Pelodiscus sinensis: one gene and its partners. The protein of the gene in region 2 interacts with the protein of the main gene of each other region in a pairwise test. Links are inferred from orthologs where the notes say so. Each region holds a gene or a part of one and is shown on either strand. Other genes may lie near its edges. The genes, in order: EIF4A2, TRIM39, UBE2E3 and UBE2K.

Region 1 (7,414 bases), on a different chromosome or scaffold from region 2:
ACAATCTAATGAGAGATATCCACTAAACTGACTAATCTAGCACCATAATTTTTCCTCAATATCTTTTAGACTTTGATCAATTTGGGGTTTAGAATCATCTTTGGACAACTATCCAAGCATAGCAAAACTCTGATCTTTGATCTGAGGAAGCCAAAGATATCCTCACTTGAGTGCTAAGCAAATTTTTTGTGCTGTATAAAATGGTCTGCAATTTGGTTTTAAGATTGCTATTTATACTTTCACTTGTATCACTAAACCATGAATCAATGGATTCTTAGAACCATTTAACATTGAATCCTGTAATTTTAATCTGGAGAACCACGAAACAGCTCCACTTTAAGATGAATAAATTACTTGAATCTTTTGAGGGTGAAGTAAACATGCGAGGAAGCATGGGACAGACACCACAAGACAATGATCATATGTGCACTGCAGTTTTCATGTTGCACAACTGCACACTCAAATGCATTGTTTCCACTCAGAACATATTGCTTATTTAAATATTTTTACCCCGCCTTTCCATTTAAAATATTCAAGGCGGCTTACAAAAACAATAAAAAAATACAAATATTAAAAAATTTACCACTTTATCATATCATTTTTAAGATTTCACCATTTGCTGGGAGATGCCCATTCAGAACTACACAGCATATCAGCTGTTACCTGCACCATGTCCCAGCATCATCTCCCGAAGTCACATCTTAACTCCCTCTTTACGTGGATAGGGAAAACCTAAAACAGAAGCTAGTCTGTTTCCCCATTACACTCAAAGCAACAAGGATTCTGAATGGATATTACAGTTACAGATTCCTTTAAAAAGATCTGTTAACTGTCCTTCACAGTTGTGAAACCCGAAACCTATGCAACGCGCAAGCAGCTTTTTTTAACTACACTATCAATACCTGTTGAGCCAGTTCTCTGGTAGGGGCCAATACTAGTGCTTGGGTCTCCTTGAGATCAATCTCCAATTGCTGCAGGATGGAAATAGCAAATGTGGCTGTCTTGCCAGTACCTGACTGAGCTTGAGCAATCACATCATACCCTAAAAAAAGTAGGATATATATTTACTCCTCCCACAAGTAATTCATATTTAGTTTAATTCTATTCCTTTTGAAGTAAGTGATCAGCAATTAAGACCTCTCCATTCATCTCCCTTTTTCAAGCAAGAATTAAAAGTAGTATGCCATCACCACACTTAAATACAAGTGCATAAAGTACATACATTTAAAAAAGACCTATTTTCTAACATGTATATCTGCTATTGATGACCAGACATAAAATTTTTTTGTGCTTGCCTACCTTTAATACATGGAATAATAGCTCTCTGCTGAATAGCTGAAGGCTTTTCAAAACCATAAGCATAAATACCCCTGAGAAGGGATTCTTTTAAATTCATATCATCAAAATTGTCAACAATTTCATTCCAATTGCTCTGTAAGAAGGAAAAGAGGCAGATTATTACTCTATTACCTATGCCCATACTGAATTTGGGTCTAAAGGCTATTATGCTGCTGCTCACCTCAATGACACCATCAGGGTCCATTCCCTCTGGGCCGCCATGGTCTCTGTTGCCAAAAAAGCAGGCTGTTAACACTCTTTGCAGCTAACAAATGCCATGTAGGACAGGATCTCTATATCTTGGATACCACTAATCATCTAATAAACCATCTTGTTAGTCTTTAAAGTGCTACATTGTCCTGCATTTTGCTCGGATACCACTAGCATTTCTCACTCCATTAGAACTTAAACCAGTGATTGATTGATTATGCTAGCAAATGCTTTAGCATTTTGCCAGCCTGGAAACTACATCTCCTTTGCACCTCATTCATATGTATGCCATTACCCCAAGTCTCCACTGTCGCCCGCAGCCAGGGGCTGCCCTGTGCAGGTTTTTTCCTACTGGTATTACTAAAGCGAGATTCATGCTGATTGCACACATTGACTGAGACCGCCATACACTCCCTCTGCATTCATCTGAGGCACTGCTATGGTTTGAGGGATACACCCTGCAAATTACAGACACATACGAAATTAGCAAAACTATCCTATCCCAGGAAACTGTCTTGGTTCCAATAATCTTGCAGCCCCCACGGAGATGGAGGGCCAATCATAGGCTTAGGCTGCCCATCGCTGGTGTAAGATCACCTATATATTTCTAGGCGCGGCACACCCCAAAGGGCAGTACGGCACGCAGAGCTAGCAGGCCCCAACGTGCAGCACCTCCCTCGCCGCGGAAGCGGCACGTGGCAGAGGGTGCGCCCCCCCCCCCCCCCAGCACTCTCACCCTAATGGCGGGATCTGCTCTGAGCGCTGCAGCACCCGCCTGGCGAGGGTGGAGGCAAGAGCGGCCCGCGCCTGGGCCAGCTCGTCTGTAGAACCCAGAGCAAAGAGTTTCCCGCGGCACCCCGCCTTGCTCAGCCACCACCGGCCAACTCTCGCGAGAGCTCCACCCACCCCCGGGGATTGCGCAAATCCGACTCACTACGCAGGCGGAGGAACGCGCCCGGAGGGCCGCGCCCCTCCCCCTCTGCGTGAAAATGAACTCGCCCGAAGCCGGGTTCAGGAAGCGCCGGAATGAACCAAAAGGGGCGGGAGAAGGGGTTGCAAGCCGAAACGCCATGGCCGGCTTCCTTCGAAGTCGAATGAGGTCGGGCCACAGGAGTGGGGGTTGTGGAGAGGCGGGTCCCCGCAACGGACAAGCTGCGGGAAGAACTGGCCGATCAGACGAGCGCGAGAGGGACCCACCGGGGCTGGCACTTCCCACCAACGGCAGCGAGCCGACATCGCACACGCTTCCTCCTCCCCCGCCTTCCTTTTAAAATCACCTCAGAACGAAAACAAGACACGAACTCGCCCCCCAAACCCAGGAATACCTGCTATAATCCGTAGTACCACCTGACATGTTCCGGTCTCCAGCCCCCACGTCTGTTCTGCCCTCAACTGAAAAGGCAGCGCCTTCCCGGCGCCGGCTTTATATAGCCATCCAGCTGCCGGAACTCGTTCCGCCCTTCACAGCGGAGGCATATGTCTATCGTCACACAGCCCGAGCCATATACATGCCCCGTTTAGAGTTTACCTGTGTCACGGATAGCCCCACGACCACGGAGTATGATATTTCTCGTGGGGTTCGTGAGGCTGCAACGGCCAAAAGATCGGGCGGAGATGGGGACTCTTTTGTGTGACGCGAAGGCGGAAGGATATTGCAGCAGTTGGCGCTGTGACAGTGTCTCACTCCTTCCTCATCCTGCTCGTGCCCCCACCGCTTGAGCACGGGGTTTCTTTGGCCGCCCGTGCTGCAGACAGCCTCAGAGCGGGAGGGGGAGGAGAGCGAGAGTGGGGGAGGGGGGAAAGAGGAGCGGGGTAGCTGAGTCCTAGAGAAAGGGGCAAAGAAAGAGGAAGGGAGCTGGGGGTGGAGGGTATGTGGGTCCCAGGAGGAGAGGGGGAAAGTGGCACTTGCTGAGAAGGATTAATGGGTCAAAGCCTGAGCATCAGCAGTGGGGAAAGCCCACATGACAGGATTTTATCACCAGTCTTATAATGCTGGTGCCAAGCCCGAGCTCCAGGAGTCATGGGATTATGGGAGACTCTAGGCATTCATTTATCTCCCTCCTCCCACCCACCAAAGTCTACCCCTTGTGGGGAAAGGCTGGAAAACCATCCTCTGAAAGTCTTCAAAATGAGACCAGCAGCCAAAGAACCCCAAAAAGAATTGAAAGAAAAAAAAATCTTTTGATATTTTTAAATCAATCTTGTGGTGTCTTTGGGGTGGGTTGATTGATAGTTTTGAATGCATGGCTTTGGCAATACTGGAGCAAGACAAGGGGAAGGAGAAGCTGTAGAACCCCGTGTGGAAGCATCTCAGAGAACAAATTGCAGGGGAAATGGGGTAGTGAGTTTCAGCTGGCCTGACCAGTTCAGTATATCCCAATTAATGTAATATATGTTATAATCTGCATCTGTTGTGTAAGGTAATATTAGAAAACCCCCTGACAGACTGATTCCTGCATCGCTTATGTGTGTGAGACCTAAATGACTACACAAATATGAAAGAAATATGGGACTAAAATGTGTTTGGACCAGAAAAGTCTGGGAAAGTTGGCAAACATGTTTTTTCCAAGCAAAGGAAAAGCTGATGGCTCCATCCAAGTTCAGTTGCAGACATTTGGCAGACATTGACATAACAGAGGTTGGAGGAACCCATCAATTTGTATTATAGAAAGCACCAGTGGGAAAGAATCCAGCATGGAACCTCTCCATTAGATTAATTGCACTTTTCTTTGAGAAAGATACATTTCTAAAGTTCACTGGACTGTAAAAGAGAGGGGCAAAGAATCCCAAGTTATCTTTCGCATAGGAAGAAAAGCAAAGTCCTGTAGTTCCGTAAAAGGCCCTGACAAAGAGAAAATCAACTATGTCTGGAAAGAAGAAACATGGGTAAGAAATCTACCTTGAACAAAGATTGTAGTTTAAGTTTTCATCTCTAGAAAGCTTATTTTGCTTTTATTTTCTTGTAATCGTTTCTTTATCTCTTGTAATTGAACTCACATAAGACCTATCACTTTTTTATTACATTTTGTTACATAATCTAACTCAGCCCAGAATTAGGGTTGCCAACATTCCTGACCAGACAGATTAGATGCCATTCATGGCAATGGCATCTGGTCTGTCCTACTGGAAAAGCTGACAACCTTAATTTGAACTGAAGTGGTTATTAGTTCTAGGTAAAATAATGAGTTGTGCTTTTGTTTCTTTAAAGGAAAACAAATCTTATTGCTTCTGAGTATTCCAGGAGAGGGCTGGATACTTTTGGGACAGTTTGGGGAAATTTCAGAACTTGGTGTGTGTTGGGGTTAACCTGAAAGTAGTAAACAACGCAGATTGAGACCAGTGTAGGGTTGTGGTAGTGTAGGCTGGCTGCTGGAGTTCTAGCACACAGATACTCAGGAAACTGCATGCTTACCTGCTGACTGTGGGTGTTCAGGCTGTGAGTCACAGCACTTGGGGTTACAGGACAAGTGGTGGCAACCTCTTACTGGTCTGGGTTGAACGGCAAAAGGTCACACTGGCACAATTAGATTTCTAGTTAGAGCTAATGGACTCTTAGATAAAGCTAAAAGATAGTGAACACGCCATTTCTTTCTGTTTAGTTAGATAAATCCAAATATACAGAGTGTACCTTTATGTTGTAAGGAAACCACAAAACTGTATATTTTAATGTTACTAGCAGGCTGTGCCCCATGCTCACTACGCTTGCCAACCCCTCCTCTTTCTGACTGCTTTCATGGCCTGAGAGTGAAATAATGTCATTCTGTCACCTGGCATGAAAAACATTTTATATAGAAAGAGATAATGAGGACTAAAAATCCATAGGTAAATGGGAAGATTTCTGTGGAAGGCAGGAGGTGCAAGGAACTAAGTCATCATTTTATGCATAATTTAATTTGTAATTAAAAAAAAATGATTCCAGGCAATAATCAGAACCTTTGTGTCTGCCTTTACCTCGTGTGCCTTAAACTTTCCTGATAACTAAACTTCTTTGAAAGCTCATGCACTGGCTATATTTTGAAAAATAGGTGTAAATAAGCAAAGTTATTAATTTTGAATATGGATAGTTATGTTCTAGTTTTGCTCCTATGAGAGCACTTGACCCAATCCACTTCCAACTGATGTCAGAGTGTTTTTTTTCCTATTGATTTCAGGGAGAGCAGGATTTGGCAGCATGGCTCCAACATGCGCAGACCCATACACTAGCTATTTGCATGACTATTTTGATTTATTATATGATTTGGTGATTTATTTCTCATTTGAACGGAGCACCATTGGACTCAACTACCTTTTGGTACATTCATAGGTGTAATATACCCAGGGAAGTTGGCTACAGTAGTTTGGTGGAGGGTAGCTGGGTGAATGGTTTTCTGTTGTCTAAATAAACTGCCAGAGACTGCAGGCAGGCACTTGAGTCTATTTAAGAGATTGCCTGAAGTAGCAAACTAAGTGGGCACCTGCAGCAAATTAAGGCCTGCTGGGCTATTTTAAAAGGATTCTTCCGCAGGTAAGGGAGGGGGAAGGAGAAGAGTGGAGGACTGAGAGGAGGAAGGGGGTGGCTAGAGAGTACAAAACAGTGAGAATATTTGGGTTGAAGCAGGAAAGATTTGCTCAGGTATCAGTGGAGCGTTTGGGGAAATAGCCCAGGGAAAAGGCTGCTATATTGGTGGTAGGGGGAAAAACCCTGAGGCTATGTCTACACTCGTGGCTTCTTATGTGAGAAATATGCAAATGAGGCTAAGTGTAGAATATTGTGGAGCCTCATTTGCATATTTAATGAGCCACCATTTTTAGAGGCTATTGCGCCAGAAGGAGCTGTCTACACTGCCCCTTCTTGCACAAGAAAAATCCTCTTGCACAATGCCATTACGCCGATTATTTTCAGGAATAACTGCATTGCGCAAGAGGGTTTTTCTTGCACAAGAAGGAGCAGTGTAGACAATTCCTTCTGGAGCAAAAGCCTCTTATGCAAAAATGGTGGCTCATTAGGTATGCAAATGAGGCTCGGTGATATTCCACGCTTAGCTTAATTTGCATATTTCTTGCAAGAAGCCGCGAGTGTAGACATAGCCTGACAATGGCTGCTATGTAGGATCCCTGGGCTGGAGCCTGGAGTAGTGGGCAGGCAGGCCCGGGTTCCCCCAAACCTCCGCAAACTACTAAAAAAAGTCTGTTCCTGGGTAAAGGAGGCCAGGATTAGAAGAGGGATTCCTCCCATTTCTTTGACTGCCAATGATGAGAATGGTTCAGTAAGCTGTGACTCTGGCCTCAAGCAAAGATAAAAGGCAGTGTGGAGGACCACAGCGAGCCTCTGAGGCATACAATAACTGCCTAGACATGCAGGATCCATGGGGATCCATGGGGGCCAGAGCATTGCCACATAGGTTATAAGGTCCCTGTAGACTGCAAGCAGCCACAAGCATAAGATATTTGCTATGGTTGTTCTTGGCATGTATACATAGGCAACAGGTGCCTGGAAGGGAGGGGCTGCAGGGAGGGCCATGCAGAGGAACAGGGAGGGGGCATGAAGGGTCACCCAAGTTAGCCATTAGAATTTTGATGGGGGCATAGGAGATCAGTGCACCTCTAAGTGCTGTCATGAGTCACCTATGCATACATTACCTACAGATGATGTAGTCCTTAATTTTTCAGATGCCTACCTGTTTGCAGTAAAATCCTAAAATGAATGAGTCGGTGAGAACTTCCAGAGAATGAAAACAGTCTTTCTCACTACATCAGCTTGGATGGTCATTGCTGTCCACAGATGTATCCTGAGCTTTTTATGATGGGACTACAAGGCTAGATTTATAAAACAAACAAACTCTCTGTTCCCTTCTCAAAGAAACCCTCTTTGTCAGAAAGATATGTA
Region 2 (7,603 bases):
CCGGCACCCTCAGGACCTGATTGGTCCCCGTTGAGAGATTTTACTAGATCAAGGAAAGGCAGAAGGACCAGAAATGACCCCCTCTTCCCCACTGCTCCCACGGCCCCATGCCGGGCAACTTTGCTGTCAGCAACCCATTGTCCTGCTGGCTTGTAGGGCTCCTAGCCACTAACCTTCTCATCCCGGAACATCTGTGGTCTAGAGAGCCCCAGTTTAGAGAGGTTCAACTTGTGTTAACATGAGTGTCATATGTAAGACGTGGTAGGTGACTGTCCCGCTCTCCTGAGGTGGAGGACTGGGAATAATTCTGGGCATCACATTTTGGGAAGGACATGCACTAGTTGAAAGAGGGTTCAGAAGAGGACAATTAAAAGGATGAAGGGTTCTGACAACCTGACCTGAGAGGAAAGGTTAAAAAAATACTCCGTCTGTTCAGCCTTGAGGAGAGAAAATAGAAGGGAGCTGTGCGGATAGTTTTCAAAGATGTTGAGGGTTGCTATAAAGATAAACGTGATCAGCTGCTCTCTCTGTCCTCTGAAGAAAGGACAAGAGTTAACTGGGTTCTGCTTCAAGGGAGATTTGGATTAGATATTAGGAAAACCTAAGGAGGAGGGCAATTCAGTTCTGGAATGGCTTCTAGCAAAGATTGTGGAGTCTCAGTGGTTGGAGGCTTTCATGACCTGCCAGGACAAACCCTGTGCAGGGATGGTCTTGGTTTACTCGGTCCTGCCTCAGCACAGGGGGCCAGACTGGATGACTTTTTGAGGTCCCTTTGTCTAAATCCTGGTAGGCTTATTATTTCCCTGTCAGGTGGCCTATTAAAAATAAAGGCCTTAAGCACTGTACAGAGAAAAACCACACAAGAGGCCCCTGCCTGAGGCTGCTCACAATTTCCTGCTTACATTAATGCCACTGAGGGCATTTATTTATTCATCTTGTAACACCAAGAGATCAGCCCCCCACTCCCTCCAAATAGATTGTAAGAGTCAGTTCTTGACTGGAAGAGCTTACAGTTTAACTAGACAGGACAGGAGGCGAAACGGAGGTACAGCCAGGGAACGTGACTTGTCCAAAGTCAACAGCAAAGCTAGGAGCAGGCTACCTGAGTTCGGATTCTCAGTCCAGTGCTCTACCCATTGGACTATGCTTCCTCTCTTGAGGTAATTCGTTATATAAAGATTCTGAAGCTACCAGGGAAGGACAAAATGAACCAGGTTTCTGTCCATTGTTAAAACGAGGGTTGTAAATAACAATTTAAACAACTAAAATTATAACGGTTAATGGTTAACCACTGTCAGGAAGCTGGAAATGGGTTCCCATGCATGCGCCCAGGCCAAGTGAGAGTGGCGGGGACCCTGCCTGACCACCCCACCACTGAGGTAGAGTCCTGCCGGTCTACCTGGTCTGCCCCAGAGCGGGCACCATCTGCCAGCCCAGGACAGCCACAGAGTCCCACCTGCCTATCCTGTCAGATTACCTGGGTCGAATTGGAGCCGCTGGGGCCCTGTTTATCACGCCCATGCAGCTAGAGTCCTACTGGCCTGATGCAGGCGTGGCCCTGCCTACCACCCCCACATGGTCGGTCGGCCTCAGCCAGGGCTGCTACAGCCTGGCACGGTTGGCTGTCCAATTGCTACCTGGTAAGCATTCTGGTAAGAAATGCTTACCGGGTAACTGGTTAACCTTTTATATCACTACTTAAAACAGCTTCTTTATGATGAAGGCAGCCCCAAAAGAGAGTTAAGCAGGGCAAAAGACAGTAACTTTATTTAGAAATCCTGATCTTTTTTACCCCAATTTCCCCCCCGAATGTCTATTAAGGCTGATTTACACTGAGTGACCAACCTGTAACACAGAACTTCTCTCCTACCTGTTAATTGGGCATTTGAATTAAATGGGTGTTACCAAAACAGATTTTTAAGAATTTGATTTCCATTCAAGTGATTGAAGGGCAGCTATAAGCAGAATCTGGGAGAGGCACGCAAGCTAAGTGAAATCAGAAGAAACAAGGCCACCTAGACCAGTCATTCTCATTCATGAATACACTACCCTTAGGACTATGCAAAGATCTTCCAGGAAGTACAAGTCATCTAGACATTTGTCTGATTTTTACTACCGGCTCCATAAAAAGCACTAGTGAAGTCAGCACAACCTAAGCTGTCACACGACTTGTTCACACAGCTCTATAGGCTATCACTGAAACAGAAAGCTAGTATTTAGGTGCCCTTTGGTTGACATTACAATTGTAGGACAGGGATGAGACTCATCAGCACGGGTCTCCGTTGCAGCTTATTCGACAGCAAACACAAAGCCGGCCGCCGTGTTGCGGTCCAAGGGGCTGTGACGTGTCTGTCTTTTTATGTCCGAGTCCCTGCATCAGGCATGTGTCAGTGAGGTGACGCCTGGGGGTACGCCGGGCACATGTGACGCCCGAGAGGCGCAACACCCTCCGCACAGGCGGAGCGCCGCGGGCCCTAGGGGGGTGTTACAGCTCGAGCCTGCTATGGGGGGGGAGGGAGATGCGGGGGGGGGGGGGTGAATCCTCACAGCCGGGCTGTGTGAAAGGGGGGGCAAGGGGGGGGGGGGACTTTGCTTTGGCAGCAACAAATCCGTGATGCCCACTGGGGGGGGGGGCAGGAGAGTCTCTGCTGGGGGGGGGCAGGAGAGTCTCTGCTGGGGGGGGGTCTCCTGGGACACGGGGAGGGGGCCGGTGGGGGGAGGGGCGGGGGGTCTCTCCCTTGACAGGGGGTGTCTCTCTCCCCGGCGTGGGGGGAGGGGCGGGGATAATTACGGTGGGTCACACAGAAATTCCCCGCCCCGGACTCACCTCCGCCCGCCTCCTCCCGGCGGGGAGAAAGGAGCCCAGGGCTGCCCCGGTCCGGGCCCAGGGCGGAAGTGACGACACTAGACACTCGGGGCCGCCCCCCGGAAACGAGCCGGAAACGGGGGAGGAGAAGCACCGGGCTTCCGGCCGTTGGCATGTCGCAGGGTGCTGACCTCACCGGAAGTGACGTTGGGCACCCGCCTCCGGAAGTTGACGTTGAGAAGCAGGAGACGGGTCTGCCCCGACCGGAAATGAGGACTCCCCCTCCCCCCCAACCGCCGTTTGTGGAATGTACCAAGCGCGTCCCAGTGTGGAGCGCAGCAAATTCACCTCCAACGCCCCGTCTGTGGATTGTACCAAATCGCCCGATTGCATTGGGCTGTACCAAGCTCTAGTTTGTGAAAGACACGCGACTCCGACCCCCTTCGTGGCAATCTACATATGCCAAATTCATACCCCCCCCCCCTTTGTGGAATGTACCAAATTCACACCTCCCCCCCTTTGTGGAATGTACCAAATTCACACCTCCCCCCCTTTGTGGCATGTACCAAATTCACACCTCCCCCCCTTTGTGGCATGTACCAAATTCACACCTCCCCCCCTTTGTGGAATGTACCAAATTCATACCTCCCCCCCTTTGTGGCATGTACCAAATTCACACCTCCCCCCCTTTGTGGAATGTACCAAATTCACACCTCCCCCCTTTGTTGCATGTACCAAATTCACACCTCCCCCCCTTTGTGGCATGTACCAAATTCACACCTCCCCCCCTTTGTGGAATGTACCAAATTCACACCTCCCCCCCTTTGTGGCATGTACCAAATTCATACCCCCCCCCTTTGTGGCATGTACCAAATTCATACCCCCCCCTCCCCTTTGTGGCATGTACCAAATTCACCAACCTCTTTTCTGGACCGTGCCAATTTCATCCCCCCCTTTTGTGGACTGTACCAAATTCACCAACCCCCTTTGTGGACCGTGCCAATTTCATACCCCCCCTTTTGTGGAGTGTACCAAATTCACCAATCCCCTTTGTGGACCGTGCCAATTTCATACCCCCCCCCCTTTTGTGGACTGTACCAAATTCATACCTCCTCCCCCTTTGTGGCATGTATCAAATTCACCAATCCCCTTTGTGAACCATGCCAGTTTCATACCCCCCCTTTGTGGAATGTACCAAATTCATAACCCCTCTTGTGGAATGTACCAATATCATGCCCCGCCCCCTTGGAAGGTGTCATGTGGTTGGATTTTAAAAGGCACGTGCAGTTCATTGCTGCGCCCACTGGCGTGTTTGCCCCTCGCTCTGTGCCGGGTGGGCCGCGTGGGGTGTCTAATGAAAGCTGGTGCTCAGCTGACTTTGTCTGTGCTGCTCGCGTGCCATCTCGGTGCGCGAGGTTATGCATATGGGCTCGGTGCTTGTATTCAGGGTGGCCATATTTCCCTATGCGCAATACGGGACACCACGGCGGGGGCCTTGCTGGCTCTTGAGGCTTTAGGCCTGCTGGCGGGGGGGGGGGGGGGAGCTGCTAGTCCTCCAGGCTTCAGCCCTGCAGAGGGCAGGGGGGCAGCCGCTGGCACTTGACGCAATGCAGGCAGCTCCCCACCCATCCTGCCCCACTGCAGGGATGAAGTTCACCCCCAGAGTGGGGAGGGGAGGTGCCAGTGCTTGGGGCTCCAGTGGCTGAAGCCCTGAGTGCTAGCGGGCTCCCCGCCTCCCCCACAGGGGAAACACGGGACAATGTGCCCGTTTTTTTAAAAAAGTTGGGAGGCCGGGAGGAGGAGGTCTTGAATAAGGGACTGACAGGGTACACATGGGATGGTCACCCTGCTTATATTGTGCATGTTTTCTGTCTGGGAGACAAAAGGCGGCACTGCCCACTTAGGCTGTGTCTAGACTACATGGCTCCATCGACAGAGCCATGTAGATGAGGGTTGTAGGCAAAGGGAAATGAAGCGGCGATTTAAATAATCGCGGCTTCATTTAAATTTACATGGCTGCCCCGCTGAGCCGACAAACAGCTGATCAGCTGTTTGTCCACTCAGCGCGCTAGTCTGGACGCTCCCCTGCCGACATCAAAGCCCTTCGTCGGCAGCCCCGTTATTCCTCGTGGGATGAGGTTTACCGGGGCTGCCGACAAAGGGCTTTGATGTCGGCAGGGGAGCATCCAGACTAGCGCGCTGAGCCGACAAACAGCTGATCAGCTGTTTGTCGGCTCAGCGCGGCGGCCATGTAAATTTAAATGAAGCCACGATTATTTAAATCACGGCTTCATTTCCCTTTGCCCAATAAACAAACCTACATGGCTCCGTTGACGGAGCCATGTAGTGTAGACGTACCCCTGTTGTGAGGGGTGGTGACCCAGTGAATGTTGCATGGACAACGGCTCTTAAGGGTGGCCATTTGACACCCAAGGAACACACAATGGCCCCTCGCTTAAGGAGGACATACCTGGATACTCCATGGCTCCTTGCCTAAAAAGGACACGGTAATCATGTGATCAGCTCCATTTTCAGAGGTACTCAGGAGAACGATGGATTTCCCTCCGCATGGACAAGATTATAAAAGTACCCAGGGGGTGCCTCCATCTTTGTCTTCACTCCTGCTCTTGACTACAGAAGCGTTTTTGCTATGGACAGAGAGCCAGGAAGAAGCGTTGATGTATTCTAACATAGGCTGTACTCCAGCGACGTTTATCTGGCAGTTTGTTAACATCTCTGCTAAGACCCTGCAGCAAGCATTTGCTACTTAATGTATGAAATGGGCTTTAACAATTCTGCTTCCAACCTTTTCCTTTTATTAATAAACCTTTCGATTTTAGGTTTTAAAGGATTGGCCCAGCACGCTCTTTTGGGTAAAGTCTGAGGTATAAATTGTCCTGGGACTGTGGGACCAGCAGAGGTGTAGCGAGGGTAGTATGTGCCCAGGGGCAAAAGCAAAATTTGCACCCTCTCTGCTTCCCATCGTCGCTGGGTGGCGGGGCCCCGAACCTGGCGCACGGCTGAGCCCGGCCCTAGGAGAAGTGGGTGGAGGAGGAGCAGGCGAGCTGAGGGATGACAGGGGGAGTAGAGGGGGAATAAAGTAGTGCCCCCTTAATGTGGCGCCCAGGAGCAACTGCTCCCCCTCCCCAGGTAAAGCTGGAGTGTCGAAGGGGTTTGCTTGTGGAACTTCTTGCTGGCCAGAATGCCAGCTACCGGTTTGGTGCCTTATAGAAGAGGACCCCAATCTTGGGCTGTAATGGCCCTGGTTCGAAACAACTCACCCTGATTTGACCCTCTCAATGGTGCCCCCAGACCACCTGTTTATATTACAGTGGTGTAGTCATGCTTGGATCCGCAGAACCAGGTCTACTGAGCTTTGGATCAGGACCTTTTACTTTTGGTTTTCTCTTGATGGTGGTTGTAACCGTGAAGCCGAGGTCTGTGGGTTCTGTTGTAAAACTTCGATTCTTATTTGTCCCTTCAGCGTGAGCTTTTATGACGTTGTTTCATGAAACTCATTTCTTTCGTTTCTTTTGGGACTAGAATGTGGGGAGGCGTGACACGGGACCATCCTTGCTGAAATTCCTGATAGGCTGAATTCTGGGTCTCCAGCTACTTTCTATGGGAGCTGGGGGGTTTTCTAGACACTGGAGATGGGCAGTGACGTCTAGCGCCCCCCCCCCTCCCCGAGGTTACACAAGCAGAGAAGGAGAGCGCGGTCGGCCTTGAACTCCAGATCAAAAAAAGGGGAAGAACAGAGAGATTTGCTTCTGCAACTCCTAGCTGGCCAGAGTGGTAGCTGAAGGGCGGATTGGTGCCTTATAGAGGAGGGCCCCAGTCTTGGGCTATAAGTAGCCCTGGTTCTAAGCAATGTGCCCCGATCTGCCCCTTTCAGCAAAGCCCAGACCACCTATTATATTACAAAAGGAACCACATTCATACCCACCCCATTGTGGAAGGTACCAAATGCATATCCCCCCCTCCATGGGGGGGCGTACCAAGTAGAGCAGGGGTTCCCAACCTTTTTCGGTCCCCGTCCCCCCTTGGCTTTTAGTAAACCTTCCCGTACCCCCTATTCAATATGAAAGGAAATAAATTCTAGACTCTAGAATCCACAACTTTTTTCACTCACACTACTACTTTGGGAATATTTCAGTTAGGATGATCTAATTATTTACCAAATATTCCCTGTACCCCCTTGACAAGCTTCTCGTGGCCCCTAGGGGTACACATACCCCAGGTTCAGTATCAGAGGGGTCGCCGTGTTAGTCTGAATCTGCAAAAGCGGCGAGGAGTCCTGTGGCACCTTCTAGACTAACTGAAGTGTAGGAGCATACGCTTTCGTGGGCAAAGACCCACTTCGTCAGATGCATGCATCTGACGAAGTGGGTCTTTGCCCACGAAAGCTTATGCTCCTACACTTCAGTTAGTCTATAACAGTGGTCTCCAACCTTTTTACACCCAAGATCACTTTTTAAATGATAGACCAAGCCAAGATCTACCGCCCCGCCCCTTCCTTGAAGCCCCGTCCTCTCTATTCTCCTCCTCTCCATCACTTGCTACCCCCAATCCTTATACTGCTACTTTCAAAAATTAAATCCCCACCATTTCTCGCAGCTACTCATCTGTGCTGTTGCTCAGTGAGTAGCTGCTCCTCAAATGAGGAAATCTAAGGTAAATGTACTGCGCAGGCGCGCAGTTCAGAGAGGGCTCAAGAGCTACTCTTAGGGTATGTCTAAACTACATGCCTCTGGCGGCAGAGGCATGTAGATTTGTTGTTTTGGCAAAGGCAAATGA
Region 3 (7,586 bases), on a different chromosome or scaffold from region 2:
ATTAGTTAATTCGAACTAGTGCATCTAGACCTAAAAACTAGTTTGAATTAGGATTTTGCTAATTCGAACTAGCATGTCCAGATTGACTGGACCCTGAACCGAAGTTAAGGCTGGCCGGAAGCAGTGCCGGCAGGGCATCAGGTTAGGACTTAGAGCATGGAGTTGCTGTCTCAGGCTATCCAAGGGCTGTGCTTAAAGGGACCCGACCCCCACCCCGGACAGACAGTTCTCATGGTTCCCTGCTTGCTTGTCTACCTCGATGAGGGACAGCAAAGCAGTCCTGGCTTGGAATGCCCTGAGTGCCCACACTCGGCACATCACAGCACTCGGCCATCAGCCCGGCTGCACTTGCCGCAGGCTGCCATCTGGAGGTGCCAATCGGGGGGCTGCAGAAGTGTTTCCACCCCGAGGAGCCCGCAGAGCCACCCCAGTTCTCCCCATCGGGGGCTCGTACCCCATTCCTCCTTCCACTTACCCGTCCCTAGCCCCCCTTCTTGATGTACAAAATAAAGGACACATGTGGTCAAAAATAGAAACTCTCTTTATTTAACAAAACTGGGGGAAACTGGGAAAAGGAGGTGGGAGAGGGGAAGAGAGAGGGTGGGAGAGGGGAGGGGGAAACCTGGGACGAGGGAGCTGGAAGGGGGAAGCCAAGGGAAGAAGGAGGAGGGGAAGTATCAAACTATGGTACGCCATATCTTCAGTACTGTGTACAGATGTGATCTCCTCACCCCAGAAAAGATGTTTTGGCCTTGGAAAGGGTTCCGAAAAGGGCAACTAAAATGATCAGGGGTTTGGAACAGGTCCCATATGAAGAGAGGCTAAAGAGACTGGGACTTTTCAGCTTAGAAAAGAGGAGACTGAGGGGGGATAGGATAGAGGTCTATAAAATCATGAGTGGTGTGGAGAGGGTGCATAAAGAAATGTTCTTCATTAGTTCCCATAATAGAAGGACTAGAGGACACCAAATGAAATGAATGGGTAGCAGGCTTCAAACTAATAACAGAAAGTTCTTCTTCTCAAAGAAAATAGTCAACCTGTGGAACTCCTTGCTGCAGGAGGCTGTGAAGGCTAGAACTAGAACAGAGTTTAAAGAGAAGTTAGATAAATTCATGGAGGTTGGGTCCATGGAGTGCTATTAGCCAGGGGGGTAGAAATGGTGTCCCTGGCCTCTGTTTGTGGAAGGCTGGAGATGGATGGCACAAGACAAATGGCTTGGTCATTGTCTTCGGTCCATCCCCTCCAGGGTAGCTGGTGTTGGTCGCTGTCAGCAGACAGGCTACTGGACTAGATGGACCTTTGGTCTGACCCAGTACATCCATTCCTATGTTCTTATGTTCTAAGCTCAGGGCTCAGGGTTGGGGGTCTCACTGGACCATGATTTTCATGCAAACCTGCTCCTGGGTGGCCAGGCTGGCAGCTATCCTGCCCTACACAACCACTTTCCTGTGCCTAATGCGGAGGTCGTGGACGTTGGACGCCTCCCCCCAAACCTGGATGAGGTCCACGATCTCTGCACTAGACCAGGCGGGCGCCCGCCTCTTGGTCTGGGCTGCTGGCTGGGTGCTGGCAGGCTTGCAACTGGCACGAGCACCGTAGCCAGACCGTGCCCTTTTAAGGGCTCCTGGGCCGGGTGGGTGGCAGACAAGTTTCCCTGGTTGTGCCCAGAGTGGCCACCAGGGCAAGCTCGGAAGGGCTAGCCTCCCACTAGTTCAAATTAAGTGGCTACACAGCCCTTAATTTGAACTAAATTCGAACTAGGTGTTAGTCCTCGTAGAATGAGGTTTACCTAGTTCGAATTAAGCACTCCGCTAGTTCGAATTAAGTACAAACTAGCGATTTGCCTGTGTAGCGCTTATGAAAGTTAATTTGAACTTACGGCTGTTAGTTTGAATTAACGTTGTAGTGTAGACATACCCTAGGAGACTACGGGTCTGTCTCCCAGAGCCTCTTGGAGTTTAGTATCCTGTTCCAGTATAGGCTGTAGCTCATTGATAATGTGTTGGGGGCTGTAGGTGATGACAAGTGGTGTTCTATTGTTGGTTTTCTTGGGTCTGTCTTGAAGTAGATGGTTTCTAGGTATTCGTCTCGCTCTTTCAATTTGCTTTTTTATTTTTCCAGGTGGGTAGTTGAGGTTTATAAATGCTTGGTAGAGATCCTGAAGTTTCTGGTCTCTGTCAGTGGGATTAGAGCAGATGCGGTTGTATCGAAGGGCTTGGCTATAGACAATGGATCGTATGGTGTGTTCTGGATGGGAGCTGGAGACATGTAAGTAACTGTATGAGTCGGTGGGTTTTCTGTAGAAAGTGGTGTCTAATTTTCCATTGGTGATTTGTACTGTGGTGTCCAGGAAATGGATCTCTTCTGTAAAATGGTCCAGGCTGAGATTGATGGTGCAGTGTAGGTTGTTAAAATCTCTGTGGAATGTCTCCAGTGTTTCTTGGCCATGCGTCCAGATCATAAAGATGTCATCGATGTAGCGTAAGTAGAGAAGGGGTTAAAGGGGATGGGAGTTGAGGAAATGTTGTTCTGAGTCAGCCACAAAGTTATTAGCGTACTGTGGGGCCATGCGTGTACCCATGGCTGTGCTGCTGATCTGGAGGTATAAGTTGTTCCCAAATGGAAGTAATTGTGGGTGAGAACAGAGTTACATAGGTCTGCTGTCAGATTGGCAGTGGTGTCCTCTGGGATAGTATTTCTAATTGCTTGTAATCTGTCTTCATGTGGGATGTTGGTGTATAGAACTTCTACGTCCATGGTGGCAAGGATGGTGTTATTGGGGAGGTTATCAATGTTTTGTATTTTCCTTAGGAAGTCAGTAGTATCTCGGAGATAGCTGGGGGTGTTGGTTGCGTGGGGTTTGAGAAGAGAGTCTACATAGCTGGATAAACTAGTAGTGAGTGTGCCGATACCTGAGATGATGGGATGTCCGGAGTATCCAGGTTTTATGGATTTTGGGAAGCAAATAGAACAATCCTGGTCGGGGGTCAGAAGGTGTTTCTGTGTGGATTTGTTCCTGAGTAGCTGTAGGGAGGCTTTTAAGGAGACAGTGTAGTTTCTTTTGGTATTCCGAGGTGGGATCAGAGGAGAGAGGTTTGTAAAATGTGGTGTTGGAGAGTTGTCTGGTTGCCTCCTGGTTTAAAGTTTAAACAAAGACATTAATTATCTTACCCATTACAAAGATAGCTTCCCCAATTATCACCTCTAATATCATTAGCTCACAGACATTCACCTTCCCCCTCCTCCCCATCCCTGTTCTGTTCTGAAATTTGATTTGTCCTTTTCATATGTCTTTATTTTTTTAAATTGTATCCTTTGGTATATATGATTGTGACAATTTTCTTCCACTATTTGATCTGAGGAAGTGGGTCTAGCCCACGAAAGCTCATCACCTAATAAACCATCTTGTTAGTCTTTAAAGTGCTACATAGTCCCGTTTTTTGTTTCAGCTACACCAGACTAACGGCTACATTTCTATCTCTCTAAAAATGTTTTTCCTGACGGGTGACAGAATGATGTTATCACACTCTCACGTTCTTGGGCCATGGAAGCGGACTGAGAGGGGCTTGGTAAGTGAAGCAAACACAAGGAGCAGCCCCCTAGTTATTATTTATTTATTATTATTATTATTACTAGTGATAGTAAGATAGTAGCAGCACTTCTTGTCTATTTTGATGGCACAGATTCTGGGTATGTGGCCATTATTTGTCAGAATTGAGACTGATCTACATGCCAGATCAGTTTCTATCGGACATCAAGATCTGGAATTTTAAGAGTGGCTAAACATCTTTTCTATTTATGCATTTTTAATTTCAGGCCTGGGGGTCCAAAAATTGGCTAGGTTCAGAAGGATCTGGATATTTGAGGTGATCTTGTGCTGGGGCACATGAATGAGGGCCCAGATTTTGCTTGTGCAGCAAGAAAGGTTGAACATGTTACCCACTGAGGAGTGGGATTTGGTGCTGGGACAAAAACTGGCAGGATTCAACTTTCACTCATAATCGCTATGCTGTATGTTAAGGCACTCACAACCCAACTCAGCCACGACCAGTGCCCAGATTAAGTATATTTACTCCTGAGTGACCACCCTTATGGACAGCAGTAAGAAGAGACAGAAAGAATGGGCAAAAGCAGAGCTACTTTCAAATCAGTTTCCTTGCTTTGGCTATGCCCCAGCAGGCTTTTGCACACTTGTGCATGGCACTGAAGTAATTTCAGGATCTCAGGCTCCCCCTCCCGTAGTGACTGCTCCAGAGTTGCAAGCTTGCGAGAAAGGTATTTGTATGGGAGGAGGGGGGAGGCAGGAGAGAAACCAGCCACTAGTAAGACACAAGCAAAGGCCAAGCGACCAACCTGGGGGGTGCACAGGGACCAACTCTTTGTCCTTGGCCAGCACGGGAGAACGCACGCACCCTGCAAAGGTAGAAGAGCGAGAGAGCGTGCGCGTGCCCCAGCCGGGGGGGCGGGGGGGTGTTACCAGTCAGGGAGCGAGCGCCCTCTCCCCCCGCCCTCATGTCGTTTGGAACTTTGCTGACTGCAACATTCTGAATCCGAACGTAGCGACACAAGGGGGCGGAGGCGATAGAACGCTCGGCTCTTCTCTTCCATCCGGCGCCCTTCCCCCGAGGGGAAGATCGCGTTCTCTCTCCTCTTACCCCCTGCCCCACCGTGGGAGCCCGCTTTGCAAAAAGGGGACACGCCAGCACCACCCTAAGGCCATCAAGCCGCACTGCATCCTCCCCCCGTCTCTCCCCCCTGCTCCGACTCTCAATGTTCCACACTGCCCGGCCACAGAGCCTCCTCTGCTGCTTTATATCCCCCCGGCTTCCTCCAGCCCCTCCACAGATACCATATCCCCTTCCCTTCCCCCCTCCATCCCTCCCCTCCGACCTAACACCGGGACAGGACGCCTGCAAGGTAAAGGAGAAGCGGGTTAGGTGGCTGCAGCAGGAGCCTGGGCGAGCTTGGTGGGGGGAGGAGGAGAAGGAGGAGGCGGGGGGGGGGGGAGGTTGGTAGAGGGAGCTTTGTTCTTGTTTTCAGCGCTTGCTGCCTGTCGGTGGCCGGGAGAGAGAGGAGCCGGGACTGAGTTCACGCCTCACTTGGTGCACACATACCATGCTGATCCTGGAGAGCCTCCTACCATAACAACCCCTCCATACCCTCCTCGCTGGGAGCTCGATCTCGCCCCACAAAGCCAGCCCGAGCAGGGGGGAGGGGGGGCGGGGGCGAGTGTGTGTGCAAAGCTGCATTTCAACCCTACTGCAGTTTCCTACTAGGAGCTTCATTTTCTTTTTCAGCACCCCTCCTCCAATTTGGGTGCCTCCCGCGTGTGTCTATATATTTTTCCCCTAAAAATGTCGGTGTGTTTTGTAGAAACTGATCAAGAATCGGTGGCGTTGAAAGCTTTGCAGAAGGTGCAGTTTTAATTATGCTTCTTCCCCCTCCAGCAGCTTTGTGGTAGCAAAATGCAATTCTTGCTGCTGGTCATGTAAATAACCGAGGCTTCTGCTTTCTGGGTTGTTTTAAATGTATAGTGTTTTTTAAACACCTCCTCCTCACGGCCCTTTAAATACAAAGCGACAGAGTGAGTGTAAATTTCAATCTGAAATCAGTTGGAGTGTTGTTACTGTCAATATATTGTCTCAGAGAGGGGGGTAATTTGGCTGCTCGGACCTAATAAAATGCTCTGCTCCAGTGTAAATATTTGCAGGGTATTAGTGACTTTTTAAACAACATTTTTAGCAAGGTCTGTTATTTACAATGTGTCATAAGTTATTAATGTTCATTGCTTGCAGGACCCTTCTAAAACCCCTGTCCCATGGCTTTGAACAAAGTAAACAATTGATATATTGTCTAAAGTATGAAAAAATGTAGCTGGGCTTTAAAAAACTGGAGCTTTCTATATTTAAAAAGTGTAAATATTACTTTGTAACTGTCAAACTGCAACCTAAAGTGAACTCTGCTTTTCTATTCTTCCCACCCCCTTTTCCTTTGTCCCTCTTTCCCAAAGTTCACCACGATGTCCAGTGATAGGCAAAGGTCAGATGATGAAAGTCCAAGTACCAGCAGTGGTAGTTCAGATGCAGATCAAAGGGACCCACCAGCACCAGAACCTGAAGAACAAGAAGAAAGGAAACCTTCTGCAACCCAGCAGAAGAAAAATACCAAACTATCCAGCAAAACTACTGCTAAGTTATCTACTAGTGCTAAAAGGTAATAACTATAAGAGTGACTGAGAGACATATTTGCACTATATTTTTAATGCAGATGAAAGCTGTGTTAGGGAGTCATTTACTGAATTACAAACTTTTTTGAGTTATGAGATTTTCATTCAATAGCTTCAATAATGATACTGTCAGTAAGCTAACCTTTAAATAAGCTTCTCACATTTCTTTGGGAGAGATGCTTAAGAACATTATAACTTGTAAAATGAAAATACTGGCTTCTAAAAGCTTTTATTCACCAATATGAATTTTATCCTTGCAAGTAATATAAGAATTAGAAACATCGTTTCCACCTGCGTTCAAAAGATTAGCCTTTTCTTTCTTGGTAGAGTACCATCCTTAGGGTATATTTCGATAGATTGTGTGTACTGTTCACACAATCAGTTTTATTGAATATAAAAATATTTATAAAAATGTTATTGGCACAGAAATAGATGGGTTTGTACTTATAACTTTGTTTGCATGCCAACATACAGTACATCCTTTATGCATCCTAATATAACATGTTATTCTGCAAAAATAACCAACTTCAGTGGGACATTTGCTTCACTAGGGCCTGGAAAATCACTCTGGAGATGAATATATCCCCTCTATATTTAAGTGTCAAAAGCTTCACAAACCTCTTGTAGTCTATTTGATAAAATGTCTGTATTTACAATGTATGTTAGACTGGCTTTCAGTAGGTATACACGGAAGCGTTTTTTTAACTTCAGCCATGTGAAACAGGCAGACTTTTAATCCTTTCATATGCAAGGGTCTTCTGAGATGAAACAATTTGCTAAACCTTACATTCATTTTTTTTTTAGGAATACATATTACATTATAGCCAATAGCAAATAGATCTGAAAAGTAACAGTGGAAAAACATATTTTAACTTTAGAGTCAGTTCTCTACTGCACAACTATGTGTTTTGCTTATTCAGCATGGCTCAAACTTTTATAAAGACCTGAGAGAGGAGTTGGTATTCCAGTTCCCTGAATGTTAAAGCATTAGCCATACAGTAAATACTACCTATTTTCCACTGATTTTGTACTTGTAAAGAAATAGAGCTCCAAAATAATAGTATCTAAGTTAGATACTTTAAATTAGTCCTGCTCTATCAGTGAAATGGGTCAACCTAGCTCCATTGCTCAGGTGCCAGACTGTGAAAATTTCTGCACCATGTGACTTTGTTAGGTCAGCAGGAGAACTTCTCCATCTCCTTAGCTACCTCTTCTTGAGGAGATCGATTTACTGCACTGACAGATACCCTTATTTTGTCACTGTGGTAAGAGTGTATACTTGCCACGCTGCAATGGTACCATTTGTAGTGTGGGCATCCCTCAGAAAAGAAGCTAAAGTGTTATATTATTTTTATAACTT
Region 4 (7,120 bases), on a different chromosome or scaffold from region 2:
GAAGCTTGGAGCCAGACCCCGGGCTCCATGTGGCGCTGCCCCAGGTGTCCCCAGGCCGTACGTAGCATTTCAAAGTGGCAGTGCTGTGTGGAGCCTGGGATCAGCTGGGGAGTTCCCAGCTGACTCCGGGCTCAGTGCGACACTGCCGCATTGAAATGCCGCGGGGAGCCTGATGTCAGGCTCCTTGCAGCATTTCATTTCAAAGCGGCAGCACCACATTGAGCCCAGGATCAACTGTGGACTCCCCTGCTGACCTTGGGCTCTGTGTGGCACTGCCACTTTGAAATGCCACATGGTGTTTCAAAGCAGCAGCGCTGCATGGAGGCTGGGGTCAGTGGGGGAGTCCCCCCCTTCTGACCGTAGGCTCCACGCAATGCTTTCACCTTTGAAGTGTAGCAACAGCCCTATGGCTGTTGCTACACTTCAAAGACGGAGGCATCCTATATCAACTAATCAAATAGTCAATGCAAAATGCCTGATAATTAACATCCTTATCATAAACTGTCTGAGTCAGTTCTAAAGAAACCATTCTCTGTGGCACCATTGAGACTATAGGTAATTATTCTCTAATTGTCAGGATACAACATTCACATTGTGCATCATCCAGGAATTGACATATCTGTCCTTGGCTTCTTATACTACCAGAAGAGCTGTGAATTTATTCATTTCTTGGGAGACTTTAATGCCCATGTGAACAACACTTCTAAGAGTGTGATTACACCTTAGCTGGGTTATCCTCCAAATGTATCAATTTATGTTGATATTATCACAACGGTGTGGCCTACTTTTCTTTCATCAATATGGCCACTGCCTCAGCTCTTGCTCCAGCCCCTTTGCTGGCACATTATCTGGCTACACCATAGTTCACCTTTTCTGAGGTCTAGTTCCAAAGTACTATTGTCCACTGGGCAGGTATGTTGAGCCTTCACTTGATCTTTCCAGAGTCTTGTCGTAGAACGAGTAAACAAAATAAAGGTTTCTTTGGGGATACCAGCTCCCTTCAAAAATATGGGCTAAGAGCTCCCAAAGTCCCTCTTTCTTAGGGTTATTTAGGCAAAACAGGCACGTTTTCAGGACATGGTTGTTTTTGCAAAGGGAACTACAGCTGTGGTCACCAACCAGTTGATCACGACCAGTCGATCGCAAGGTGTTCTGGACCCTCCATTTTCCCCCACCCCCAAGAAGCCCCACTACCTACCTCGAGCAACAATGGAGGTAGTGGCAGCTTCCCACGGGGAGGACAGAAGTCCTAAAGCTGCGCATCACTTCCGAGCGTTCCAGAAATGCGCTAGCTGCTTCCTTGCCCCAGCTCCCTGGTGCTCCAGAAACTTACTGGGTAAGTCCCCAGAGGTGTGTGCTGGGACTTCCCTTCTCTGCGGGAGGGGGAGTCAGGCCCGGAGGAGGCGCGTAACGGAGGCTTCCCTTCTCCGTGTGTGTGGGGGTGTGTGTGTCGGCCCTGAGGGGTCGCATACGTGGGTTTCCCTGCTCTGCGGGGGGGGGGGTGTCCGGCGGAGGCACTCGATGGGGCATCCTTCCTCCGCCGGGGGGGGGGGGGGAGAGTGTCGGCCCTAGAGGGAGCACGCAACGGAGGCTTCCCTCTGAGGCTGGTGTAGGGGACTCCCTGTCCCCACTGGCACCCTGCCCCTGAACCCAGTTCCCTCTCCCCTGCCCCCGAACCTTGTCTCCTGCCACAGAACCTTGTCCCTGCCCTACCGCCCCCGTTCCTTCTCCCCTGCCTCCAGCCACAGAACTCTGTCCCTCCTGCCCCCCTGCTGCAGAAACCTGTCCTGCCTCTGCAGAAACCTGCCCCCCTGCAGAAATCAGTCCCCACTGGCACCTTGCCCCCTACTGCAGAAACCTGTCCCCCATTGCAGAAACCTTCCCCCGCTGGCACTCTGCTCCCTGCTGCAGAAACCCTCTGCCCTGAGCCCCTCACATACCCCAACCCAAATTCCTGCACCCTCACATCCACAAGCCAGTGGCTTGCTTAGTACCCCAACTCTGCCCAGCCTAGACCCCCCACCCCAAGCCAGTGTCCCCTTCTCCACCTCCTCCTGCATCCAGATTTCCTCCCAGAGCTTGCACCTCTCACCCCTTCCCGCACCCAAATCCCTCATTTCCACCCCAAAGCCTATACATCCTGTCTCAACCCGGTGGGGGTACAGCTGGACTGCAGGAGTTTTTCAGGATTCTGGAGATATCCCAGAAACACTCTTCTGCATCCAGGGATGCGTTTGTTAAGAACGTAAGAACAGCCGTACTGGGTCAGACCAAAGGTCCATCTAGCCCAGTATCCTATCTGCCGACTGTGGCCAGCACCAGGTGTCCCAGAGAGAGTGGACCGAAGACAAATCAAGCAATTTGTCTCCTGCCATCCCTCTCCAGCCTCTTACAAACAGAGGCCAAGGACACCATTTTATCCCCTGGCTAATAGCCTTTTATGGACCTAACCTCCATGAATTATCTAACTTCTCTTTAAACTCTATTATAGTCCTAGCCTTCACAGCCTCCTCTGGCAAGGAGTTCCACAGGTTGACTACACACTGTGTGAAGAAGAACTTTCTTTTATTATTTTAAACCTGCTCCCCATTAATTTCATTTGGTGTCCTCTAGTTCTTCTATTTAGGGAACTAATAAATAACTTTTCTTTATCGGCCCTCTCCACACCACTCATGATTTTATATACCTCTATCATATCCCCCCTCGGTCTCCTCTTTTCTAAACTGAAAAGTCCCAGTCTCTTTAACCTCTCCTCATATGGGACCCGTTCCAAACCCCTAATCATTTTAGTTGCCCTTTTCTGAACCCTTTCCAAGGCCAAAATATCTTTTTTGAGGTGAGGAGATCACATCTGTACACAGTATTCAAGATGTGGGCGTACCATAGTTTTATACAGGGGCAGTAAGATATTCTGGGTCTTATTTTCTAACCCTTTCCTAATAATTCCTAGAATCCTATTTGCCTTTCTGACTGCCGCTGCACACTGTGTAGAAATTTTCAGAGAACTGTCCACGATAACTCCAATATCTCTTTCCTGATTTGTCGTAGCCAAATTAGCCCCCATCATACTGTACATATAGTTGGGGTTATTTTTCCCGATGTGCATTACTTTACACTTATCCACATTAAATTTCATTTGCCGTTTTGTTGCCCAATCACTCAGTTTGGTGAGATCTTCTTGGAGTCCCTCACAGTCTGCTTCTGTCTTGACTATCCTAAACAGTTTGGTATGATCTGTAAACTTTACCACCTCACTGCTTTTACCCCTTTCTCCAGATCATTTATGAATTAGTTGAAAAGGATTGGTCCCAGGACTGATCGTTGGGGACACCACTAGTTACCCCTCTCCATCCTGAAAATTTATCATTTATTCCTACCCTTTGTTTCCTGTCTTTTAACCAGTTCTCAATCCAAGAAAGGACCTTCCCTCTTATCCCATGGCCATGTAATTTACACAAGAGCCTTTGGTGAGGGACCTTGTCAAAGGCTTTCTGAAAATCTAAGTATATATCTACTGGATCCCCCTTGTCCGCATGTTTGTTAACCCCTTCAAAGAACTCTAATAGATTAGTAAAACAGGATTTCCCTTTACAGAAAATATGTTGACTTTTGTCCAACAAATTATGTTCTTCTACATGCTTCACAAATTTATTCTTTACTATTGTTTCGACTAATTTCTTCTGCTTTTTTAGTGGAAGAGCACACATGATCTTTTGGTCACCCCTATATTCCTCTTTCCATGAGGAATAAAGGGCCTTTCAAAAGAAAGGGTTTTTCTGACATTTGGTCCAGTCTAGACAGGGCAAATGTTGGAAAACCCTCTTCCTACAGAAGAATTAAAACAAAACAAACAAACTAGCAGTATAAAGATTGGGGATAGCAAGGGATGGAGAGGAGGAGAATAGAGAGGGCGGGGCTTTAAGGAAGGGGCGGGGCGGTAGCTCTTGGCTTGGTGTGTAAAAAGGCTGGAGACTACTGAACTACAGGCTTCCCCCGCTCCCTGGAAAGGCCCACACATCAGTCCTACTCCTTCCAGCGAGCGGCCACCAGGGGTCAGGCATGTCCGCGAGCTCTGGTTGGAAGGAGCCCGTTAGCAGCCCGGCTCCCTGGCGCTCGCGCGCGCTGTTCGGAGGCTGAGGCGCTGAATGGCCCTTCCGCTTTCCTCGCTGCTGCAGCCTCTCGAGTTCTGCCGCCCCAACTCCAGCCGCCAGGGGAGAGCCCAGAGCCCGCCCGGCCCCGCTCCGCCGGGCTCTGAGGGAGGCGCGTTTCACCCGGCGCTTGTTAACCCGTCGCTTGCTGAGGCGAGCGCTGAGCGACACGTGCGTGTAACAACACGCCGACCGTGCGGATGACACAGCTGCTTCATCACAACCCAGCGGCCCTAGCTCTGCCCGGCTGGCGGGTGAGGGGTGTCACCGCAGGGACCTCGCGCTGTGCGTGTGCAGGAAAGCGGCTCCTCCCGTGACAGGCCGGGTGGCGGGTGTCGCTTACGGAGCGGCGGCGCAGCAGGGCGTTACCCGTCCCGCCGAGCCAGTGGGACAGTCCCGCGCAGCCCCTTCCCCCCAGCGCGGACCCGCCAGCTCAGGGGCCGCTCTGCTCCCTGCATCGGCTGCCCACACACACACCGTGCTGGCCCCGCCTGAGAGGCGCCGGGGGCCGCACCGCGCATGCTCGACGCGGGCGCCATTTTGGTGGGGCCGGGAATTATCCAGCGGGAGCGGCGGAGCTCGCTGGGCCCGGCTCGGAGGCAGCGGCGTGTGGCTGCCGGCTGCAGAGATGGCCAACATCGCGGTGCAGAGGATCAAGCGGGAGTTCAAGGAGGTGCTGAAGAGCGAGGAGGTCAGAGACTCCCCCCGGCCCTGGCGGTGTGCGGGGCGCCCGACAGTCCCTCCTTCTCCTCCCGCGGCTGGGGGAGGGTCTGTCCCAGCCTCTCGGCTGAGGGGGAGGGTAACGGCGGCTCCTGAGGATGAGGGACCCAGCAGCGGGGACGGGGAGCCTGGGCCCGCTCCGGCAGCGGATGATTCTCGGCGCGGGGGCAGGCCTGCAAGGGGTAGGAAGTGTGGCCGGGCAGCGAGCGAGATGCCTGGACAAGGCCGGGAAACCCCCGGGAAAAGCGCCGCCTCCACCACCCAGTCTGGTTTGGTCGGCCCAAAAAGAAGGCTCAGGGGAGCCTAATAACGGGGCGGGCCGCGCGCGTGTGTGGGGAGGTGTCGTCTCCGGGGTCCCCTGCCCACGGATACAGCGGGAGATTCCTCTATTTTACGGCTGGGGCACTGGGGAGAGGCTTTCCCATGCGACCTAAATGGAGATGGGGCAAAGACAGGATGGGTAAGAACACACGTCCCATTTCATCCAGCTCCCTCGTTAGCCTGTGGCTTATACTGCAGAGTGATACATTGTGTGTGTGGTTTTTTTTTAAATAAAAGCCCATTTAACTAGATTTCCTTAATCCAAGGCTTCCTTTTACCCCCAACATAGGTTATGTCACCTTGGTGTGCATATCTTTAACCCTCTCTCCACCTGACATCCCGGTGCCCTATTAATCATTCTTGATACATTCCCTGTAAGGGATGTACAGTAATTAAGGAAAGGAGGAAGTGATAAAGAACTTTAAGTGTATTTCCAGGGACTATAGAATAGCATTTACAGTGATTGTGTCAGAGTTATTTTCGCTGTCTGTAAATCTGTGTTGGTAAATGTCAGCGAGATAGGTTTTGATGTTTGTGTCATCACCATCATACTCATGAGGATGATGAGGCATGTTGTATGCTTGTGAAATATTAATGTGCAGTTTGACTCTGAAAACCGATGATTTTAGACACTGTACCAGTCAGCTAGATTCATAGTCAGAAAACCAAGATGCTACTAACTTCCTGAGGATTTGTGTTGCTTACAGAAAACATGTTTAGAATTGGTCTAGTTGATGTCCTTCTGAATATAATGTGCTAACGGCATTATTGTTACACAGCTCAAAATAAACTATTCTCCACAAAATCTTAGAGCTTAATTTCTACAGCTATTATGCATGTGATGCTCAAGTTGATTTCAATGTGAGTTCCAGTGTGTAATGATTACAGAACCCAAATACTAAATTAGAACAGATCCTGAATGGTCAGCTGTGTATTTATATGCTAAAATTAGAATATCCCAAAGTGTTTACTTTCTCTGAACAATACATCTTAAAGTTGACTGCTTAGACCTTTATATAAGAGAGCACTCCAAATTTCCCCCTTGTGTTATTTAGAAAGAGAAACCTTGCCATATGCATCAGTGATATAAACATGGTTAGATCTTTTAATTTTCTTAAGACAAGTTTGGGACTCAGGGAGCAATTTTGTTTTAAATTCCTGTTTAATATATGTGCCGGAGATTTTGATTACATTGAAGATAAAAAAGAAATTACTTTGTTTGGGTGAACTGAATTTGTGAATTTTGAGACAACCCTTACTCTTGGCAGGATTCCTGCATCTTGTAAATTAAATATTAAAGAGCATTATCCCCCCATCCCCTCCCAGGATTCAGCTATTTCTATCAGTACATATATAATTACTGTTTATATTACAGGCTTTCATGGGTATTCGGAATACATACTTCTTTGATGTAATTGTGGATGTTTATTACAATGACACACTGATTCTAGATACATGTATTGGGAATACCTTGACTTGATTTTTTTCAAAGTCCGATTAAACTTTTTTCCAGCGGTAGTGTGAAAACATTCAGTATGAGATGTACAGAGGTATGACTAGATATTTTTGTACTTTGGCAATCTGAATTCACAACTTTATCAAGAAAAATTGATTGTCACAAATTATATAGCTAAAATGTGTTTTAATTTAAAATTTGTCTTGCATCAAGGAAAAGTTGCTGATCTTATCTACTCTTAAACATTCTTGGAGTGATGTCTCAAGCCATAGCTGAACATAAAAGCTGGCAATCTGTTTCCCTGCAAATGCCACCAAATGGCATTTGCTACCATATTGCATTTTGGAGAGAGAACGTACAGAGTTTGCCATTTACATTCTTCCAAAAGTGCATTCTGGACTTAGCTAAGTGGGAACCAGCCAAATGCAGTTTTAGAAGAGGATGGAAGAGGGGCAGATCAACAACTTCTGCAATT

Evidence for each region.
Region 1: the proteins of TRIM39 (region 2) and EIF4A2 interact in binary tests that used the Homo sapiens proteins (3 or more experiments, as listed by UniProt). The two-hybrid records come from large-scale screens. The link is inferred for Pelodiscus sinensis from reciprocal best matches to the Homo sapiens genes TRIM39 and EIF4A2.
Region 3: the proteins of TRIM39 (region 2) and UBE2E3 interact in binary tests that used the Homo sapiens proteins (3 or more experiments, as listed by UniProt). The link is inferred for Pelodiscus sinensis from reciprocal best matches to the Homo sapiens genes TRIM39 and UBE2E3.
Region 4: the proteins of TRIM39 (region 2) and UBE2K interact in binary tests that used the Homo sapiens proteins (3 or more experiments, as listed by UniProt). The link is inferred for Pelodiscus sinensis from reciprocal best matches to the Homo sapiens genes TRIM39 and UBE2K.

What each region holds. Positions count from the first base shown.
Region 1 is NC_134720.1:47,414,974-47,422,387, forward strand, and holds the start of EIF4A2 (eukaryotic initiation factor 4A-II), read right to left. Parts: upstream 3,016-7,414; 5' UTR 2,903-3,015; coding exon 2,874-2,902; intron 1,566-2,873; coding exon 1,520-1,565; intron 1,433-1,519; coding exon 1,300-1,432; intron 1,043-1,299; coding exon 903-1,042; intron 1-902. UniProt on the Homo sapiens protein: ATP-dependent RNA helicase which is a subunit of the eIF4F complex involved in cap recognition and is required for mRNA binding to ribosome.
Region 2 is NC_134742.1:11,322,830-11,330,432, reverse strand, and holds the start of TRIM39 (E3 ubiquitin-protein ligase TRIM39), read right to left. Parts: upstream 3,003-7,603; 5' UTR 2,982-3,002; coding exon 2,828-2,981; intron 1-2,827.
Region 3 is NC_134717.1:48,105,651-48,113,236, forward strand, and holds the start of UBE2E3 (ubiquitin-conjugating enzyme E2 E3), read left to right. Parts: upstream 1-4,575; 5' UTR 4,576-4,770; coding exon 4,771-4,917; intron 4,918-5,043; exon of another isoform or gene 5,044-5,354; coding exon of another isoform or gene 5,355-5,414; intron 5,415-5,439; exon of another isoform or gene 5,440-5,584; intron 5,585-6,010; coding exon 6,011-6,213; intron 6,214-7,586. UniProt on the Homo sapiens protein: Accepts ubiquitin from the E1 complex and catalyzes its covalent attachment to other proteins. In vitro catalyzes 'Lys-11'- and 'Lys-48'-, as well as 'Lys-63'-linked polyubiquitination.
Region 4 is NC_134715.1:92,844,518-92,851,637, reverse strand, and holds the start of UBE2K (ubiquitin-conjugating enzyme E2 K), read left to right. Parts: upstream 1-4,119; 5' UTR 4,120-4,667; coding exon 4,668-4,839; intron 4,840-5,002; exon of another isoform or gene 5,003-5,017; coding exon of another isoform or gene 5,018-5,050; intron 5,051-7,120. UniProt on the Homo sapiens protein: Accepts ubiquitin from the E1 complex and catalyzes its covalent attachment to other proteins. In vitro, in the presence or in the absence of BRCA1-BARD1 E3 ubiquitin-protein ligase complex, catalyzes the synthesis of 'Lys-48'-linked polyubiquitin chains.